Macaca fascicularis: one gene and its partner. The protein of the gene in region 2 purifies or fractionates together with the protein of the main gene of each other region. This does not show direct contact. Links are inferred from orthologs where the notes say so. Each region holds a gene or a part of one and is shown on either strand. Other genes may lie near its edges.

Region 1 (4,274 bases), on a different chromosome or scaffold from region 2:
CCCCTTGTCATGGGGCCGTTGAGAAGTTTCAGAAGATACCTGCAGAATGAATCAAACAGCTATGTGAGCACCTACTGCATGCCTGGCACTGGAATTCACACCACAAACGCCCCAGCTTTCCTAGAGCAGGCAAAAATGACCCAGGTATTAATAATTTCAGGTGGAGGCACAGGAGAGGGACTGGAGGGCCTCTTATGCATAGGGTGGCCAGGGACCACCTCTCTGAGGAGGTGACAGCTAGGCTGAGACCAAAGGATGGGGAACTGGCCTTGTGAAGACCTGCAAGCAGACAGCCGGGACCAAGTCTTGGAGGTGGGGATGTATCTGGTGTATTTAAGGAACAGAAAGGAGGCCAGGATGGCTGGAGCTGAGTGAACAAGGGGGAAAGAGGTAGGAAAAGGGAACTTGGAAGCCATGGGAGGCTTGGACTGTTTTTTTTTTTTTTTTTTTTTTGAGGCAGGATCTCACTATGTCACCCAGGCTGGAGTGCAGTGGCATGATCACTCCCAAGTTCAAGGGGTCCTTCCATGTTAGCCTCCCAGACAGCTAGGACTAGAGGCTTGTGTCAACATGCCCAGCTATTTTTTTTTCTATTTTTTGTGGAGGTAGGGTCTTGCTGTGTTGTCCAGGCTGGTCTCTAACTCAAGCGATCCTCCGGCCTCAGCCTCCCAAAGTGCTAGCATTACAGGTGTGAGCCACCGCACCCTGCCTAAGGATTTAATTTTATGCTGAGAGAAGTAGGGAGCCATGGGAGGGTTTAGAGCAGAGGAGGAGTGTGATTGGACTTAATTTTCACAGGATCCCTCTGTGGGGAGTGGATTTCAGTGTGGCTCGGAGAAGAGCCTAGGAAGGAGGCTTGGATCTTACCTTAAGGAACATGGACGGGGGGGCAAGGAGACTTGTGTGGAGGCTACAGCAGCCGTTCCAGTGAATGGTGATGGGGCCTAGAATGGGGAGGTGGAGTGGACAGATTAGGCAACTGATTTGGAAGACGCTGGAGAGGCGGGATCAACTGGACTTGATATGTGATCAGATGTGGGGGTGAGAGGGAAACCAAGGGCCATTTGCTGAGATCAGAAGTATGACACGGGGACGTTTGGGGAAAAGCCAAGAAGAATGTGAACTGCAGCTGTGCTCAGCAGGCGTTGTGTGCCTGGCCCCGTGCTCCGCAAAGTCCGTGTAGTCACTGTATCATTGTCACAACAGCCCTGACTTAGGCACTGTTACGATCTCATTTTACAGATGCAGAAACGGAGGCCCAGAGAGGTTAATAGCCTGCCTGGGGTTCCCCAGCCCAGATGCTGCAGAGCTGACATTTGAATCCAGAGAAGAGCAAGCTGAGGCTGGAGCTGAACAGAGGGCAGGGAGGCGAGTGGTGGCCTGAGAGGTAGGAGCGAAATTGGGCAAGTGGGGCGGGAGGGTCCTGTGAGAACTGGGGCCAGCATCCACATGGGAGTTGATGGGTGGTGGTGTGGGGAATGCGTGAATCCCTGTGGCTTAGAGAGGGACAGCTGTATCTGAGAGGCAGGGTGGGGATTCAACACCTGGAGACTTTGGGGGCTCTGGCCTTGGCCCCCCACTAGGTCAGGACAGACTGACCTCAGTTTCTTTTTTTAAGTTCCGTGATACATGTGCAGAACATGCAGGTTTGTCACATAGGTATACGTGTGCCATGGTGGCCTGCTGCACCTATTGACCTGTTCTCTAAGTTCCCTCCCCTCACCCCCATCACCCAACAGGCCCCCGTGTGTGTTCTGCCCCTCCCTGTGTCCACGTGTTCTCATTGTTCAACTCCTACTTATGAGTAAGAACATGCGGTATTTGGTTTTCTGTTCCTGTGTTAATTTGCTGAGGATGATGGCTTCCAGCTTCATCTATTTCCCTGCAAAGGACATGATCTCATTCCTTTTTATGGCTGGATAGTTTTCCATGGTGTATATATACCACATTTTCTTTATACACTCTATCATTGATGGGCATTTTCTCAGTTTCTAAGTCACAATTCATGTTCCCTCTTCTAGGAAGCCTTCCCTGACTGCCTGTGTGGGTGACAGGAGGTGGCAAGGACAACCCCTTCCACCCTAGGTCAGGTAGTCCGACAGGGCCTCACTGCGGTCAGCTGCTCCTAGGAGAGCCACCACCCTGACCTCATTCCACCAGGCTCTGAGAAAGACGCCACCCAGGCAGGGCAATGAACACTGAGTGCCTACTGCGTACCAGGACTTTATATGCTTTGCCTCTTGAAAAATGTAGCTACCATCCTATGCAGGCTGAGGCTCTACAGTGGGAGATAAGGTGGGCTCTTAAAATGGCCGTGGAAAACCCCAAGGGAAGGTGGCCAGGCCAGGGACGCAGATGCCACCTCCCGATAAGTCCTTCCTGGCCAGCATTGCCCCATCGTATACTCCTTGGGGGAAAGTGAATGGGGTCACTGTGGCTGACGGCATGGAGTTAGAGTCCTCTATGCTAAATGGCATGGGACGCCCCCCTGCCCCTCCTTCCTGTAAGTCAGCCTAACCCTGGGTTTGCATGTTTGCCCAGATTCTTTCTTTTTTTTGAGATAGAGTCTGGCTCTGTCCCCAGGCAGGAGTGCAGTAGTGCGATCTCGGCTGACTGCAACTTCTGCCTCCTGGGTTCAAGCAGTTTTCCTGCCTCAGCCTCCCAGGTATCTGGGATTATAGGCACTCCCCACCAGGCCTGGCTTTTTTTTTTTTTTTTTTTTTTTTTTGAGATGGAGTCTTGCTCTGTTGCCCAGGGTGGAGTGCAATGGCGTGATCTCGGCTCACTGCAACCTCCGCCTCTTGGGTTCAAGCGATTCTTCTGCCTCAGTCTCCCAAATAGCTGGGATGTGCACCACTACACCTGGCTGTTATGGGTGTGCACCACTACACCTGGCTGTTTTTTTTTTATTTTTAGTAGAGATGGGGTTTTGCCATGTTGGCCAAGCTGGTCTTGAACTCCTGACCTCAGGTGAGAAGGATCGGCCTTGGCCTCCCAAAGCCCTAGGATTACAGGCGTGAGCTACTGCGCCCAGCCCCTGTCTTATTTTCCACAGGACATGAGACTACCTGGCAGACATCTTATCTGTTAACTGTCTGCTCCCTTTCACTTGCCAGTGGCATTTCAACACCACAAGGGCAGGGACCCTGTCCATCTTGTTTTTGCTCTATCCCTAGGCCTGGAACAGTGCCTGGCACACAGTAGATGCTTAATAAACATTCCATGAATGAAGTCAATCTCTACAAGTCTCTGAAGTTGGTTCCGCCCATATCCCTATTTCATGGACGGACAAACCAAGGTCGAACCACAGTCAGGGCTGGGACCTGGCAGGGACTGTGGAAGGCCAGCTGGTCTTGTTCTTGGGATGATGGAAACAGCAGCGTCTGAAATGAGGCCTGGGTTAGGATTTCAGCCCTGCCCAACCTGCTTTGTGACACCGGGGAAGCAGTTAACCTCTCTGTGCCTGTTTCCTCATCTGTTGAACCCAAGCCAGGCCAGTCCCTGTAACCTAAGGTCTATTGTGAGATCAAGTGAGTTCATCCCTCTGAAATGTCTGGCATGCGGCAGGAACTCACAACATTATTTCAGGGATACAGGAGGGCAGGAGGTTATGAGGCTGTCTGGGGAGGCTGGTGAGACCCAGGTTCCAGTCCTGTCTCTGCTCCTTAGGAGTTGTGGGCACATGGGCTGCCTGCTTCCACCCTGTGAGTGTCAGTTTCCTCATCTGTGAAACGGGGATGTAGAGTGGCCGCAAGGTCCCATCGGGGCACTGGGTGACCTAGCATCAGTGGCCTTGTGCGTAACAGCCCTTCCATGGGGTCCAGGCCCCGGGCTCCCCTCCAGGCCCGGCGATTGCCGCCATGAAGCTGAACGAGCGCAGCCTGGCCTTCTACGCCACCTGCGACGCCCCAGTGGACAACGCAGGCTTCCTGTACAAGAAGGGCGGGCGACACGCAGCCTACCACCGGCGCTGGTTCGTCCTGCGCGGGAACATGCTCTTCTACTTCGAGGATGCGGCCAGCCGCGAGCCTGTGGGCGTCATCATCCTGGAGGGCTGCACCGTGGAGCTGGTGGAGGCTGCGGAGGAGTTCGCCTTCGCCGTGCGCTTCGCGGGGACCCGGGCACGCACCTACGTGCTGGCCGCTGAGAGTCAGGCCGCCATGGAGGGTTGGGTCAAGGCCCTGTCGCGTGCCAGCTTCGACTACCTGCGGCTGGTGGTGCGTGAGCTGGAGCAGCAGCTGGCGGCTGTGCGCGGCGGGGGTGGCATGGCCCTG
Region 2 (3,812 bases):
CTATATCATAAACGGTCTCATATGTATGTGTTGGTCTACAACTTGATTTTTTTTTTTAAATCAGCAGTGTGTCTTGGAGAACCTCCCATCTTATTACATAAAGACCTAGCTCATTGTACTTTTTTTTCAAATTCCTAGTTTCGTCAGTAATTTCCTTTACTAAAATGGATGTGTCAGGTCGTGAATTCTTTGGGATTTTTCCCCACCTCATTATCCTTGATTTGCCATTAAGTGCTGTGATCATGATAACCTGCTGAGAAAAAGTTTGATTTTATTGAGTAATCACCCCATGTTTTGGATTCTTGGGCATGTTATGATTAGAGGCTTTAAAAACCACACTACATTTTCACCACCATTGGCACCAATGACTGTTAACAAAGGAGCCGAGTGCACCATGGCTAATTAATTTCAGAAGACTTTCTGTGGGCTGGCTGAGATAGAGCTGGGATAGGGTTCCAACCCTGCACTTGGTACTGTGATCTGTTGCATTGGTTCTCAGACTTCAGTGGATGTAAGAATTGCTTAGAGAGCTTTAAAAAAAGTGTGGATGCATGCGTCCCCACCCCTGGAGACTGTGATTAGTAGGCCCAGGCAGCTGTGCTTTTAAGACATACTCAAGTTGATTCTGCCACATATCTGGTATATTGGAAAGAGTCTTACACTAGTCCAGATATCACCTTTGGTATTAACTGTGGCAGTGAGCAAGTTTGTTGATTGTTGTGTATCTTAATGTTCTCAACTCTCAGAACAAAAATATTACTTGCTTTGGTAGCCTTCCAGGTTGTGAAAATTAAAAGACATGTGCAAAATACTTTTGGAAATTAAAAGTTGCAAAGTTTTGTAAAAGTATAAAATTCATCTTAACCTAATGCTATAGTATGGACCCTGGTGATGGTAAAATGATGTTTGATCCTCAGTTCTCTAAGAGTTACAGTTCAAATACGTGAAAAACTTCCCCAGTCTGAGATACTTGACTCAGCTTTGATGTTCTTATTTTCAACATTTTTAAAAATTTTTATTTTACTTTAAGTTATAGGATACAAGTACAGAACGTATAGGCTTGTTCCATAAGTATATGTGTGTCATGTTGGTTTGCTGCACCTAGCAACCCATCATCTAGGTTTTAAGCCCCACGTGCATTAGCTATTTAACCTTAATGCTCTCCCTCCCCTCGCCCCACTACCCCGAGTGGCCCAGTGTGTGTTGTTCCCCTCCCTGTGTCCATGTGTTCTCATTGTGCAGCTCCCACTTATGAGTGAGAATATGCAGTGTTTGGTTTTCTGTTCCTGTGTTAGTTTGCTAAGGATGATGGCTTCCAGCTTTATCCATGTCCCTGCAAAGGACTTTTTTTTATATTTTTTGAGATGGAGTCTTGCTCTGTTGCCCAGGCTGCAGTGTAGTGGTGCAATCTTGGCTGACTTCAACCTCCGCTTCCTGGGCTGAAGGGATTCTCCTGCCTCAGCCTCCCAGTAGCTGGGATTACAGGCACCCACCACCAGGCCTGGCTAATTTTTTTTTGTACTTTTAGTAGAGACAGAGTTTCACTGTCTTGGCCAGGCTGGTTTTGAACTCTTGACCTCTAGTGATCCTCCTGCCTCGGCCTCCCAAAGTGCTAGGATTACAGGTGTGAGCCACTGTGCCCAGCCTGAGCTCATTCCTTTTTATGGCTGTATAGTATTCCATGATGTATATTTGCCACATTTTCTTTATCAGGTCTTATTATGAATGGGCATTTGGGTTGGTTCTATGTTTTTGTTATTGTAAGTAGTGCTGCAGTAAACATACGTGTGCATGTGTCTTTATAGTAGAATGATTTATATTCTTTTGGGTATACACCCAGTAATGGGATTGCTGGGTCAAATGGTATTTGTGGTTCTAGATCCTTGAGGAATCGCCACACTGTCTTCCACAATGGCTGAACTAATTTACACTCCCACCAACAGTGTAAAAGCGTTCCTATTTCTCCACAGCCTCGCCAGCATCTGTTTCCACATCTTTTTAGAACCTTTGCTGCATGTGTCAATTTTTTTTGACACGGATTTTTGTGAAGTTTCCTAGTCTAAAAAAGAAACCGATATCTCAAGTTAAAATCTGTTAGTTATGTTAATTTTGGCATTGGTTTGTATGAAGTTTTAATATTTAAAAAAAACACGGCTATATCAGGAAGCTGAAAGTGCTGTGTCAGGTGGGAATTTTTTTATTAATCAGTCAAGATGTGTTTATCCGTTGTCATGGTTTTACTCTAGTCTAGGACATTTTGTTTCAGCCATTTTCTAAAATGGCTGTAGGCTCCATTTATTAATATATCTTTGCTATTATATAATCTGAGCAGTGATATTACACTTCTTGGTATTGTACATAGAATCTAATAGAGTTAAAAGCTTTTTAATCATATTTTCTCCCACCCCACCAAGTTATGATTGTTAGAAACAGTAATTGCTGTGTTTCGACACCGTCATTTTGTACAGTGCAAGCAATCATTTTTACCACAATCACATTTTTTCCACTACCAAATAACAATGAAGCAAGAAAATGTTCTTCCCAAATATTTATTATTGCCAAGCTTCTTAACATAGGAGTTTAACTTTTACAGGACGTTAGCCAATTAATCTTACCTTTACCTTAAAGCGTGTGCTTCTATAATGCTTTGTTCAATTTATGTTTGCTTTAGAGGCTCTTGGAGATATAAAAGTTGAGAGCATGTAAAACTAAAGCAAGGATCTGTTTTCTTTCAGGTGAAAGTTGTGGATGAAGCAAGATATGGAAAGTGTTTGAGGATGTTGTTTGCACCACAGTTTATTTTAAATGGTTGCTGTAATGACCAGTTTTAAATTGTTAGATAATCTCCAAGGCAGATGAGCTAGAAGCATATAAGACTGAAAAGAGGATACATTTTCTTTCAGGTGAAGGTTGTGGATGAACGAAGGTACCGTAAAGTCTTTGAAGATAGTGTACGCATCATGGACAGAATGGAAAATGACTTCCTTCCTTCCTTAGAACTCAGCAGGAGGGAGGTGAGCCAAAATACATGATCTCCCTGTCTGCTGCCCACTGTGGTTAGCACAGAAGAAACTGCTGCTTAGAAAAGGCAACATAGCACAGTAGTTAAGCCCATGTCGCTGGAGTCAGACTGCCTCCATTCCAGTCCTAGCACTGCTGTTTAGTAGATGCATGACCTCAGGCAAGTGTCTTACCCACTCAGAGCCGCAGTTTCCTTTTCTGGATTAAGGGGTAGTTGTAAGGATTACATGAGTTAATACATGCGAAGCTCTCAGAACAGCACCCGGGACATAGTAAGCCCTCCGTTGTTAGCTGCTCTTGTTTAATATTTCAGAGTTGCTAGTTAATTTATATCTCAGAAACCAGGACTTGGTCCCAGGATGAATACTCTGAACCAAGGTTGGGTTACCCTCTTAGGATCCTAGGAATGATCAGAGTAGCCTGGAGAAGTAGCAGGAGCCACCTAACTCCTTCTCTGCTGGTGTGAGTATAATAATACATGCAAGTGGATGGTGTGAAGTTGGTTCAGTTGGTGAATGTCTATGGCATTTGCACACCTGCTTAACAATTACCTTACTCCTCATATCCTCTATGGAATAATCCAACTGACTTACTTCCCCTACTAGTGATGCATGTTTGTGTCTGTCTGTTATTCCCCAGTTTGTGTTTGAAAATGTGAAGTTTCGGCAACTACAAAAGGAGAAGTTCCAGATCAGCAACAATGGACAGGTTCCCTGCCATTTTTCTTTCATCCCTAAACTTAATGACAGCCAGTACTGCAAGCCATGGCTTCGGGCTGAACCTTTTGAGGG

The links.
Region 1: the proteins of OCRL (region 2) and PHETA1 purify together in Homo sapiens (co-immunoprecipitation; 5 studies listed by BioGRID and IntAct, counting the BioPlex papers as one, with this or other methods). This does not show direct contact. The link is inferred for Macaca fascicularis from reciprocal best matches to the Homo sapiens genes OCRL and PHETA1.

Annotation. Positions count from the first base shown.
Region 1 is NC_088385.1:118,251,658-118,255,931, reverse strand, and holds the start of PHETA1 (sesquipedalian-1), read left to right. Parts: upstream 1-1,264; 5' UTR 1,265-1,387; intron 1,388-3,824; 5' UTR 3,825-3,860; coding exon 3,861-4,274. UniProt on the Homo sapiens protein: Plays a role in endocytic trafficking. Required for receptor recycling from endosomes, both to the trans-Golgi network and the plasma membrane.
Region 2 is NC_088395.1:135,844,121-135,847,932, forward strand, and holds part of OCRL (inositol polyphosphate 5-phosphatase OCRL), read left to right. Parts: intron 1-2,903; coding exon 2,904-3,014; intron 3,015-3,660; coding exon 3,661-3,812. UniProt on the Homo sapiens protein: Catalyzes the hydrolysis of the 5-position phosphate of phosphatidylinositol 4,5-bisphosphate (PtdIns(4,5)P2) and phosphatidylinositol-3,4,5-bisphosphate (PtdIns(3,4,5)P3), with the greatest catalytic activity towards PtdIns(4,5)P2.